Linked DNA regions of Macaca fascicularis. The protein of the gene in region 1 binds, or shares a complex with, the protein of each later gene. Links are inferred from orthologs where the notes say so. Each region holds a gene or a part of one and is shown in the gene's direction. Other genes may lie near its edges. The genes, in order: CRHR2, UCN and GNA11.

The links.
Region 2: the proteins of CRHR2 (region 1) and UCN are in contact, whole or in part, in a cryo-EM structure (PDB 7TS0), measured with the Homo sapiens proteins. The link is inferred for Macaca fascicularis from reciprocal best matches to the Homo sapiens genes CRHR2 and UCN. Residues at the interface, in NP_001874.2 of Homo sapiens: Phe68, Asn69, Gly70, Val71, Tyr73, Ile101, Leu102, Asp103, Asp104, Arg107, Asp110, Tyr113, Leu117, Asn120, Trp166, Leu169, Gln170, Val172, Asp173, His174, His177, Glu178, Thr188, Phe191, Asn192, Phe199, Phe256, Gly257, Lys258, Asp265; in NP_003344.1 of Homo sapiens: Asn84, Pro85, Ser86, Leu87, Ser88, Ile89, Asp90, Leu91, Thr92, Phe93, His94, Leu95, Leu96, Arg97, Thr98, Leu99, Leu100, Leu102, Arg104, Thr105, Ser107, Gln108, Arg111, Ala112, Asn115, Phe119.
Region 3: the proteins of CRHR2 (region 1) and GNA11 are in contact, whole or in part, in a cryo-EM structure (PDB 7TRY), measured with the Homo sapiens proteins. The link is inferred for Macaca fascicularis from reciprocal best matches to the Homo sapiens genes CRHR2 and GNA11. Residues at the interface, in NP_001874.2 of Homo sapiens: Arg148, Tyr208, Leu209, Ala212, Ile213, Thr216, Glu220, Lys293, Lys307, Ala311, Phe358, Tyr359, Phe362, Asn363; in NP_002058.2 of Homo sapiens: Arg37, Ile348, Leu349, Asn352, Leu353, Glu355, Tyr356, Asn357, Leu358.

The regions. Positions count from the first base shown.
Region 1 is NC_088377.1:99,597,597-99,601,691, forward strand, and holds the start of CRHR2 (corticotropin-releasing factor receptor 2), read left to right. Parts: upstream 1-1,178; 5' UTR 1,179-1,295; coding exon 1,296-1,379; intron 1,380-4,095. UniProt on the Homo sapiens protein: G-protein coupled receptor for CRH (corticotropin-releasing factor), UCN (urocortin), UCN2 and UCN3. Has high affinity for UCN.
Region 2 is NC_088387.1:94,910,399-94,913,389, forward strand, and holds UCN (urocortin), read left to right. Parts: upstream 1-1,560; 5' UTR 1,561-1,652; exon of another isoform or gene 1,653-1,902; 5' UTR 1,903-1,915; coding exon 1,916-2,290; 3' UTR 2,291-2,410; downstream 2,411-2,991. UniProt on the Homo sapiens protein: Acts in vitro to stimulate the secretion of adrenocorticotropic hormone (ACTH). Binds with high affinity to CRF receptor types 1, 2-alpha, and 2-beta. Plays a role in the establishment of normal hearing thresholds.
Region 3 is NC_088393.1:3,791,751-3,795,848, forward strand, and holds the start of GNA11 (guanine nucleotide-binding protein subunit alpha-11), read left to right. Parts: upstream 1-1,266; 5' UTR 1,267-1,556; coding exon 1,557-1,692; intron 1,693-4,098. UniProt on the Homo sapiens protein: Guanine nucleotide-binding proteins (G proteins) function as transducers downstream of G protein-coupled receptors (GPCRs) in numerous signaling cascades.

The DNA.
Region 1 (4,095 bases):
GGAGGCACTCAAGGACAGAAAAGTGTCCCATGTCTCAGATAGGGAGACCAGAAGGAGCACAGAGTGTCTGAGTTACTTAAATTGGGACTGAGTTTTCCAAGGTCTTGGCCCTGCCTGCATCTCTAGGAGAAAGCTTGGTGCCCCACTAATCACATTCCTCACATGCTTTCCCCTCAGATCCTAACAACAAGCAAGGTGCAACTGCGGCTTAAGCTTTTAAACCCCCTGCACCAGGCCCATCTGTCAGGAACAGCTCCCAAGGAGGCTTCCGAGGCTCCAGAAGAACAGACCTCACCTCATGAGCCATGACCCAGCCCCAGGTTGAACCTGTCCCCACAAGAACAGCACTGCTCCGCAAGATCCACCTGACATCAGGATCCCTAGCCATTTCCTGAAACATACAGACACCCGGGCCCCATCCCAAGCTACGTCATTGGAATCTCTGGGTGAGCCCTGCCATGGCTGTGTTTGCTGTCAGTTGGGTTTTTTTTTTTTTTTTTAAGCGTTTCATTTTGATAGAATTTCAAACGTACAGAAAAGTTGAAAGAATGATCCAAAGCATATCCATATACCCCTTTTCCAGATTTACCAACAATTTACATTTTGCTTCATCTGCTCTCTTGTTCTATCTATAGATCTATCTATGTGAGTGTATTTCTGAATGATTTGAAAGTACGTTAGAAACATGGTGCCTCTTTAATCCTAAATGTGTATTTTCCAAGAATGAAAACATTCTCTCACCTACCCACAGTACAGTATCAGAATCGGCAGATGTAGCATTGATACAGTACTACTATTTACCCAGCATCCACCCTCCCATCTCAGTCATCCCAGTAGGCATTAGCACCTGTTAAAACTCCCCGGATAGGTGTTAGGCAGTGCTGGCTCAGCTGAGACCCAGGGCAGCCCAATCCTGTGCTCAAGCAGGGACCACAGCCTAGGCCCCCTCCTCCTTTTCTCAATTCCTCTCTCCCACCTGGGGAGCTACAGCCCCGGCAATGCTGGAAGCAGATAGAAGGCATTAACCCCTTCTCTGCAGGCTGGAGGGAGAGCATAGCCCCTTGGCTGGCTGGGTAGCAGCAGCTGTCCTGCACCAGCTATAAATAACCTGGAGGCTGTGGGCTGTGGGGCGGGGCCACTGCTGCCCTGTGGAAGAGGTGGGTGGAGAATACCCCCTCGTGCCCAGGGCCTTACCTCAGGCCTCCCCTCCAGGGCCAGGTTGGGTGGGGCTGGCCGGGGTGTGGCCACTGTGCTGGGCAGCACTCTCGGGGCCCTAACCCCCATCCACTACTGGCATGAGGGGTCCCTCAGGGCCCCTAGGCCTCCTCTACATCCCACACCTCCTCTGCCTGCTCTGCCTCCTTCTACCGCTGCTCCAAGTAAGTGCAGGGAGTGGGAGTCCACGAGGTGGGGCACCAGGAGCGCAGAACTCCCAGCTCTCATGACTAGGGGCGGGGGTCTCAGGGCATGGTGACTGGGCTGGATCGGGGATCCCTGAGTCTTGATGATGAATTGGAGATTCCGTGCCTGGGTGAGGGGGCAGGGGAAGGGAAGATGAAACTGTGAGGCCGGCCAGGATGAGACTGGGAGTCCCCTGTGGATAAGCAGAGGGTTCTGGGGTGACACCCTAGTGTCCAGAACTTGCCTACCTCAGGGCCCAAGGTTCCCTGTCTCCTGTCCATTCTCTCCCCACCCCCATGATCCCCCCTCCATCTCTCCTGCAGGATCCTTGACTTCTTTCCCCAGCCCATTCCTAGTTCTGACCCTTACCCGCGGGGACCCGCAGAGCCACCTCCTGCCCCTGTTGCCTTGTCTCCACCCTTCCTTTCAGTGCCTGAAATCAGGCGGCCCCCAGTACCAGATGAGCGATGGGGACAGAATGGGCTCTGGGAGAACCAGCCTCTCCAAAGGTTTCTCGAGACTCTGAGCTTTGTCCAGCCACACCCCGTGCCTTTGTCCAGAGTTAGGGGCCACCGATGGAAGGTGGGGTGAAGGGACACAGAGCAGCCATCAAAAGAGAGCTGAAGAAGTAGGGGAGAGGCTGGTGGGAGTGGTCCACCATTTTACAGATGGGGAAACTGAGGCTCAGAGTGGGAGGGGGACCTGTCCTAGGCCTCACAATCTGGGGAGTGGTGCCAGAGTGGAAGCTAAGAGGCCTGTCCCTGTCCAAGACTCCCCCCACAGACCAGCCTTGGGGACCATTTTCTGGGGCTTAGTGTCCCTATATGTATAAGGAGGATAATTCATTCAACAGTAATTCAACAGATATTTGCCAACAAAACCAATCCAAATCCCTGCTTTGCTGCTTAATGTGTGACCTCGGACAGGTTACTCAAATCCTCAGTTTCCTCATCAGTCAAATGAGGATGACAACGGTGCTTACTGAACAGGCTTGTTGTGGGGAACACTGAGGTAATACAAGTAAAGCACGCAGCATCATGCTTGGTGTGGTGTGAGCACGCAGTGAATGCCAGCTACGCTTTTGTGCCAGGCACCACAGATACAGCACCACAGAGGGTCCCTGCCTTCCTAGGGGCCTGGCCAGGTGGAGGAGAGAGGTGGGAGGCAGGTACCATGCTGAGCTGTGGTCAGTGTCCCATAGGGAGATGGCCCCCAGACCGGCTGAGTCCTTTGAGTGACATTGCAGACTGCAATTGGGATGGGTGAAAGTTGTGCAGGGGGTTCACCATCCACCCCTCTGCCCCCAAAGACATCCTGGGCTTTGAGTTCTCTTGCCCTCTCCCACTTGTTCTCCAGATAAGTGCCTTCCAGGAGATCCAAGTATTGGGGCAACGGTGGCCCCCAGCCCGTCCCTCTGGGGGCCATGCCGCCAGCCACCCAAGCTAGTTAGACGGAGGAAGCTTCTGCTGGCGGCTCCAGAGGTGCCCTAGGATTCTCAGGGCAACACTGTGGGCTCAGCTTCCCTTGGGGTCATCCCAGGCCCTGTCCCCAGCTCTCCCGGGGATCCCAGACTGGGATAGAGACCAGTTACTTGCCCACAGCCACTCAGCACGTAAGCAGCTGGAGAGCACTTAAACCCCAGCCTTTCTGACGCCAAAGCCCAGCCTTCCTCTCGCTGGGCCTTCATGGCAATGGGACTTCTTCCTGGGTCCTGAGACGATGAGACCTGGAGCAGGAAGTAGAGAGAGAAGGCAGCCCAGGAGAGTCCAGCCTGGCCTCGGAGGCTTCTCAGTTATTCATCCAGTGTTTAAGGAGGACTGTCCATGGGGAGGATCCAGGGTCTGAACGCTAATCTGGTTCCTGTTCTTGTGGAGTTTATCGCCCAGAAGGGGGTGTGGCAGGAAAGAAAGGAGTCTGTATTTACAAGTTCCAGTAAATGGGCTCAGAAGAAGTATGTGTAGGTGTGAGGGCCCTTGACAGGATTGGGGGAGCCTGGTAGGAGGTGGGCAGCACAGCAGGGATGGAGATGGGTAGTTCAAGGGAAGGGATGGGGGAGAAGGTAGGGGGGAAGGCCCCAGGGCCCCAACCCAGAAAAGACATCTGTGCGAGACTGCAGAGCTGTATGGATCTGAGGACATACCCTGAAAAGACATCTGTGGGATCTGAGGACATGGGGCGCTCTCTGAGCAGGGGAGAGGACTGGTCTGATCTGCAATTGTAGGGGTTCCAGCTGCTGTTTTTGAGTGAAGAGGATGCCCTGGCCCAGGACACACTGAAGGCCTGGAGGAACCCACCCAGCCTTGACCCCAGTGCTCCCTATTCTCCAAGGAGGACTTTGGGAAGCTGCTCTGGAGGCAGGCAGTAATCTGGCAGCTTTTACGTGGTGTTAGGCGCCTTACTCAAACACTGGGAAGGTGGGGCCACTTATTCACAGACAGGAAACAGGTTTAAAGAGGCTCAGCAATGCCACTTGCCTCTCACTCTGTGAAGATCCCAGGAGCTTCTCAGCCCCTGCTGACTGAGTTCAGCTCCTTGGAGCTTTGGACAGCGAGACACCCCCATAGCGTCTCACGATGGTGCCTCTATGACCTCTTGCCCAGGTCCTGGCTTCTGGTGGGCCCATCTGCCCCAAGAAGGCTCAGCAAAGAGAAAAGAACACGGAGAAGTCCCTGGCAGTCCCTGGACCATCCCTGA
Region 2 (2,991 bases), on another chromosome or scaffold:
AGACAACTTCCTAAAGTGGGCACACTAGTTTCCACAGGGTTGGGTTGCCAGTCAGAACTTAAGAGGACTAGCACCCTGCAATGCTCCCTTCACTCTAAAATGTGCACTGACTGCTTTAGAGCCCTTGATAATAGTCTTATTCCCACCACATACTAGGCACTCCATAAATATCTGTTGAACTTTCATGACCTTATCAACTTTACACACATATCCCAGCAAATGCCACTCATCCCCACTCTTCATAGACACATTTGTTACTCTAACCCTGCCTAGCCTTGTAGCTCCAGCTCTTCAGAGACCCCCGGAACCCTTTATATGATGCCTCAGTAAATATGTTATTAAATGTGTCATCCGGAATCTGCAGTGGTAATGGGGAGTCATTTCTAGAGCTGGAAAGAAGCCAAGAGACCACCAAGCCCAATCTTTTTTTTTTTTTTTTTTTTTGAGATGGAGTCTCGCTCTGTCTCCCAGGCTGGAGTGCAATGGCGCTATCTCGGCTTACTGCAGCTTCCGCCTCCTGGGTTCAGGTGATTCTTCTGAGGAGCTGGGACTATAGGTGCGCACCGCCATGCCCAGCTAATTTTTGTATTTTTAGTAGAGATGGGGTTTTGCCATATTGGCCAGGCTGATCTCGATCTACTGACCTCGTGATCTACCTGCCTCGGCCTCCCAAAGTGTTGGGATTACAGGCGTGAGCCACCACGCCTGGCCAAGCCCAGTCTTCTACAACTGAGAACCCTGAGGTTGGTAGAAGGGAGGTGACCTGCCCACACCAGGAGTTAGCAGAAACTTGAACCCATATTTCTTTACTACTCATGGGCAGAGTAATACTGCTGCTATGATTCCCAGGAGAGAAACGGAACTTTGCTAAACTACCACTTTGGACAAACTCAAAAGCAGATGGGCCATATTTGTGGTCTGAACGCACTTGGAGGCCAGAGACCCTCTGTTACATGGTGCCTGTGTGAGACAGCCCTAGAATTTGGATCCTGGGGCTGGAAAAAGATGAGAATGCTGGGAGACTTTGGTTGTGGAAGACTGCCTCTCAATGGGACCCACTGTGTTGGCTGAGTGCCAGCGGTGGACTCCTGATACCTGCATTTGCAGAACTGATAGCTGCCACGAGGCAGTGGTTTGCAGCAGTACAGCGTTCTCACATCATCTCTAGCCACTTCTAGAGGCGCAGGACGAGGTCAGCACCATGGACAGCCCCCACGGTCCCGCCTCCCTTTCGTGTGTCAGAACACGCGACCCGGACTAGTCTGGTCTGGTGACGGCCCTAGTCACTGCTGGCGGTTCTAAGCAGGGCGAGGGACTCCCGTGGGTCCCAGAGCAGTCCTTTCGCCCCAGCCAGCTTCTCGCTCTCCTGCGTCCAGTGCTGCTTCCAGCGCTAGCCCCAGGGAGACGAAGGCTCATGTCGGGAGGTGTGCCCTTCCGGGGCCCGCCAGCCGCCAGACTCGAAGCTGTGGCTGTCATTGCTTCTACAATCAGTGCATGTTCTTCGCTGACGTCAGTCGGAGCTGTCCTGTCGCTATATAAGGCTGGCGGCAGTCCCGGGACAGACCCTGTGTTCCCCAAGGCGCCTTCGGCCCGCCCCGAGGGACAGAGACTGGAGCTCAATCTTGGACCGTACAAACATTCGCCGACAACCTGTGAGTGGCTCAGAGCGTCCACCCAGCCTCCCCCAGCACCAGGACTCCACTCAGCTCAGCCACCGCGCTCCTTCGGGAGGGAAGCTGGGTGGAAGGGATGGAACAGCACTGGCGCAGTAGCCGGGGCTGGAGGGCAGGCTGCGGGCATTGGGCGGCTACCGGAAGGGTCGCCGGGCGAGCGCAGGGAGGGGAGCGGCCTCCTGCAGCTGCCCCAGGCGCACCTCACCCTGCGCTGCCCCTGTGTGTCCAGGGCCGGCGGCACCATGAGGCAGGCGGGGCGCGCGGCGCTGCTGGCCGCGCTGCTGCTCCTGCTACAGCTGTGCCCTGGGAACAGCCAGAGGAGCCCCGAGGCGGCCGGGGTCCAGGACCCGAGTCTGCGCTGGAGCCCCGGGGCACGGAACCAGGGCGGCGGGGCCCGCGCGCTCCTCTTGCTGCTGGCAGAGCGCTTCTCGCGCCGCGCAGGGTCCAGCCGATGGGAACCCGGGACGGCAGGCGAGCGGCCGCGGCGGGACAACCCTCCTCTGTCCATTGACCTCACCTTTCACCTGCTGCGGACCCTGCTGGAGCTGGCGCGGACGCAGAGCCAGCGGGAGCGCGCCGAGCAGAACCGCATCATATTCGACTCGGTGGGCAAGTGACGGCCCGGTTTGTGGCCGCGAAAACTTTGACCCCTTTCCCCCACCCCAGGGTTGGGATGCGGGGCAGAGCCACCAGGGCACTCTCTGCTTGACTATTTTTTAATAAAAGTACTGAAGACCCGTTGGCTTCTGTCGTGGGGGCAGGGCAGTCACAGCAGCGTGGGAGCCCGTGGGAAGGTGGGGCCCCCGGGCCAGCGGGAGGGGAACAAAATGCTGTGGGGGGCTCCAGGAGAGCGGCTTTCAGCCAGGTCAGCCAGGTGCCTTTGAACTCCAGGGGTCCCCAAATCCCTAGGACCTCAGAGGTCCCAGCACCACCGCCCCGCCCTCGACCCTTTTCCCAGGGCGCTGGGCTCACCATTTCGCTCCTGGCATCACAGAGGTGCCCAATAGGGGTTCATTTGGCTTCCGCCCCCCGGATAGTCTCAGGTTCTGGGAAGGGCAGGATGGTGGGCGGGTCGCCTCCGAAGCCGAGGCTGCGGCATTGGGCAGCGAAAGGAGATACGGGTCGGGGACGCTCGAGTTCTTTATTGAGATCCTCCTGGGGCGGGCGCCGATTTGGGCGATGCCGCGGTCTCTGCGCAGATCCTCCCCGACCCTAGCGCGGGCGCTCGAGCAGGGTCGGGTTGGCGCAGGCCTGTACCCGGGAAAGAAGGCTCGGTGGGCTGGTGCTGCGAAGGCGCCAGGCAGCTCGAGCCCCGCTC
Region 3 (4,098 bases), on another chromosome or scaffold:
CCCAAACTGCTGGGATTACAAGTATAAACCACTGCGCCTGGCTTTTTTTTTTTTTTTTGAGACGGAGTCTCACTCTATTGCCCAGGCTGGAACGCAGTGGTGCGATCCCAGCTCTCCGCAACCTCTGCCTCCCGGGTCCAAGCAATTCTCCTGCCTCAGCAAAAGTAGCTGGGACTACAGGTACCCACCACCACGCCTGGGTCATTTTTGTATTTTTAGTAGAGACAGGGTTTCACCATATTGGCCACGCTGGTTTTTTGTTTTGTTTCATTTTATTTTTATACAGGGTCTTACTCTCATTTCCCAGGCTGGAGTGCAGTAGCTCCATCTCTGCTCACTGAAACATCTGCCTCCTGGGCTCAAGTGATCCTCTCATCTCAGCCTCCCGAGTAGCTGGGACTACAGGCGCCCACAACCGCGCCCGGCTAATTTTTTGTAATTTTTAGTAGAGACGGGGTTTCACCGTGGTCTCGATCTCCTGACCTTGTGATCCGCCCGCCTCGGCCTCCCAAAGTGCTGGGATTACAGGCGTGAGGCTTTTTTTTTTTTGAGACGGAGTCTTGCTCTGCCGCCCAGGCTAGAGTACAGTGGCCGGATCTCAGCTCACTGCAAGCTCTGCCTCCCGGGTTCACGCCATTCTCCTGCCTCAGCCTCCCGAGTAGCTGGGACTACAGGCGCCCGCCACCTCGCCCAGCTAGTTTTTTGTATTTTTAGTAGAGACGGGTTTTCACCATGTTAGCCAGGATGGTCTCGATCTCCTGACCTCGTGATCCGCCCACCTCGGCCTCCCAAAGTGCTGGGATTACAGGCGTGAAGCCACCGCGACCGGCCTCCGTTAACGCTTTATAATGGATGAGTGAAGGTTCCTGTCAAGCAATGTCAGGGAGCTTCCCGGGCATCTGGAGACCCAGAGAGCGCAGCGGCCGCGTGGGCGCCTCCCCGACCCGGACTGGGCCGATCTGGCCGAGCCGAGCGGGGCCGAGCGGGGCCGAACGAAGCCGAGCGGAGCCGAGCCTGGCCGGCCGAGTCCGCCACATTCCCACAATCCCGGGCGGCCCCGCCCCGGCTCCCGGCTGCGCGTCCCCCTTCCCACGTCGGCGCAACCAAACCCGCGGGCCCCCCGCCCTCGCCCCGCCCCGCCCCTTTCGCGCCCGCCGACGCCCCGCCCAGGCCGCTAGTCCCGCCCCCACGGTGGGCGCGCGTGGCCGCCGGCCCCTCCCATTGGCCACACCGTCTGCCTGTCGCGGGCTGCGCTCCCAGCCTGCTAGGTTGTCCGGCGCTGTCGCTCGGTTGCGGCGGCTGCGGTTGGCGGTGGCTGCGGCGGCGGCGCGGGCTAAGTGCGGCCGCGCGGGAGTCCGCGGCTGGCGCGGCCCGAGCAGGGACCCGGCGGCTCGCCAGGCGGCGGCCGAGGCGGGGCGGGCCGGCCCGGGGCCGAGGGCCGGGGGCCGAGGCCGGAGGGCCGCGGCGGGCGGCGGCCGAGGCGGCTCCGGCCAGGGCCGGGCCGGGGACCGGGGGGCGGCGGCGGGGAGTCGGCCGCGGCGGCCGGGGCCGGGACGATGACTCTGGAGTCCATGATGGCGTGTTGCCTGAGCGATGAGGTGAAGGAGTCCAAGCGGATCAACGCCGAGATCGAGAAGCAGCTGCGGCGGGACAAGCGCGACGCCCGGCGCGAGCTCAAGCTGCTGCTGCTCGGTGAGTGCGGCCCCCGGGCCTGCCGGCTGCGGGCCCTGCCCTGCCTGTGTCCGCCCTGCCTGTCCGGGTCGGGCTGGGACCCTGTGGGGTCAGCCCTGCCTTTGCCGTCCGGGTTGCGGGACCCTCCGGGGTCAGCCTTGCCTGTGCCTTCCCTGCCTGTCCGGATCGCGGGACCCTCGAGGGTCAACCCTGCCTGTGCCTGCCCGGCCTGTCCGGGTCGGGGCGGGGCCCTCCCGGTTCAGCCCTGCCTTTGCTGTCTAGGTCGGCACCTGGGACCCTCCGAGGTCAGCTCCGGGCCCCAGATTCCTTTGGGGTCAGCCTCTGCCTTAACTGTTCATATTGGCACCTGGGATCCCGGGGTCAGCCCCTGTCTGTGCTGTTCACGTTGCCACCAGGGACCCTCGGGCGTCAGCCCCTGTCTGTGCTGTCTAGATCAGGCCCGGGATCCCTCCTAGGTCAGCTCCCAGTTTCTGCCGCCACATTGGGCCTCCAGGACTCCAAGATTTGCCTTGTGTCACTTCTCAAGGGACCAGCCCCTCCCTGCTCAGGGACCCTCTGACCTTACCCCACCTGAGTACCCACCCCTCGCTACCCCTTCAGGGCCAGACCTTTGGGCTGTAACCCACAGGGCATACTCACCCCTCACTTCTCAGGGCCCCGCGTTGACCCTTCCCTCCAGGTAGAGCCCTGTACCCTCCATGCAGGCCCCATACACCCCCCAAAGACTCCTCCGTGCCCCCTAACCCCCCATTCCCTTCAGGGCCATTCTCCTGCCTTCCTGTTCCGGGAAACCCCATAGTCCTCTTGGCTGGAAAGCGCCCTGTGGGAAAAAGACAGGGTTCTGCTCAGCTGAGGGTGGGGCGATTGACACCTGAGGGAGCCTTTGCTTGTTGTCCGAAGCAGCTGTCTCGGCAGCCTCCCCCGCCGCCTTCCTTAGAGTCTTGGTGGGAGCCACACTGAGTCCCCGTTGGGAGCAGGCCCCCACCTCCCGGCTCCTCCCCACCGTCCTGGAGAAGGTTTGCTGCTGAACCTCGTCTCCCCAAGGCACGCCTGCTGCAGGGAGCCAGTCGGGCCAGCTGTAAAGTGTTGTCACCCCAAATAAGGGTCCCTGCAGTCGTTTACAAAACAGAAAGCTCTTGCCCTGCCCCGCCCCTGCCCTCCCGAGCTCCTAGGTTAGCTCCTGGCCTGGGGGCGGGGGCCAGGGGCGGTGGGGAAGGTCAGAAATGGGTGCAGAGGCAGCAGGGACGGAGGAGGGGGTGTGCTGGTGGCGGTAGCTCCTGGGGAGGAGGCAGGTTGGGTGCTGTGTGGGGAACACGGTTGCCTCTCTCCTGCTGTGACCCTGTTGCGGCCTCCATGTCCCCGGTTAGAGAGGTGCCTTGGATGAAATGCCCTCCTGATTTTTTCCCCCAAACTTGTGTTTTGATTTACCTAAGGGGTCTGAAGTGGGCCGTCTTTCCAGGGGACACGGGTAGGCAGAGCCCGCGTAGTGGCCCCTTGCACAGAGTGGCACTGACTGGCTTTTGTAGTGGGTCATGGACTTTGTTTGGATGGAGGGGAGTTAGGAATTACTGGTGTCATAAAGATCTTACCAGATGGCCTTGCTCTGTGGCTCTGTGACCTCCCGAATCCCTGCCACCTTTTCCGCGTGCACCCAGGCTTCTGTGCCTGCACTTTGGACTTGAGATTGACACGGGGTTCAAGGACGAAGGTCAGGGGCTCCCGTGTCTGCAGCCTTGGCTGCTTGGAGCAAATCTGGAAGTGATTCGGCCCTTCCTGCATCCTCTGTGCAGTGCCCAACTGTGGCCCGGGGTGTCTGCTGCAGGAGCACCTGTGTCTGCAGCCCCGCCCCTCCCACTCTGTGAGCTGGAAGTTGACCCCTATCAGCTGGTAAGATGGGAGGCTGCTGTCAGGCTCAGGGCCAGGCGGGGCAGATAGGGCAGTGACGAAGATGTGAGCTTATGTACGACCCAAGGAGGACGGGTGTCAGTGCCACGTAGAGGGCCAGGGGCTGCCAGGGGATTGGAAGGGCTTCACACTCTAGGTGCTGGGGCCAGGGACCCCTCTGGGAATCTGATGCGACAGGCCCTCAGAAAACTTCCCCTCCAAGCAACCTTGCGTCCCAGCTGGAGGGCCCCTTGCTGGGAGGACTTTGACCACCTGAGGTCCAGGGGCTGGGGCTCCAGGGTACAGGAGAGGGGACCTCTGTCAGGCTCCCTGCCTGCTTGTGGGAACTCATTCCACTCTCCCAGGAGGCCAGCCCCGAACTTGCGATTGCCCCTGTTTTTCAGGGAGCAGCGGGAGGGTGGGGCCGAGGCTCCCCAGGAGGAGGGGGCTGTTGGGCTGCAGCAGGTGGCTGTGGTGCCTGCAGCCCATGGAATGTTCAGAGACCTCTGGGCGGAGGTCCTA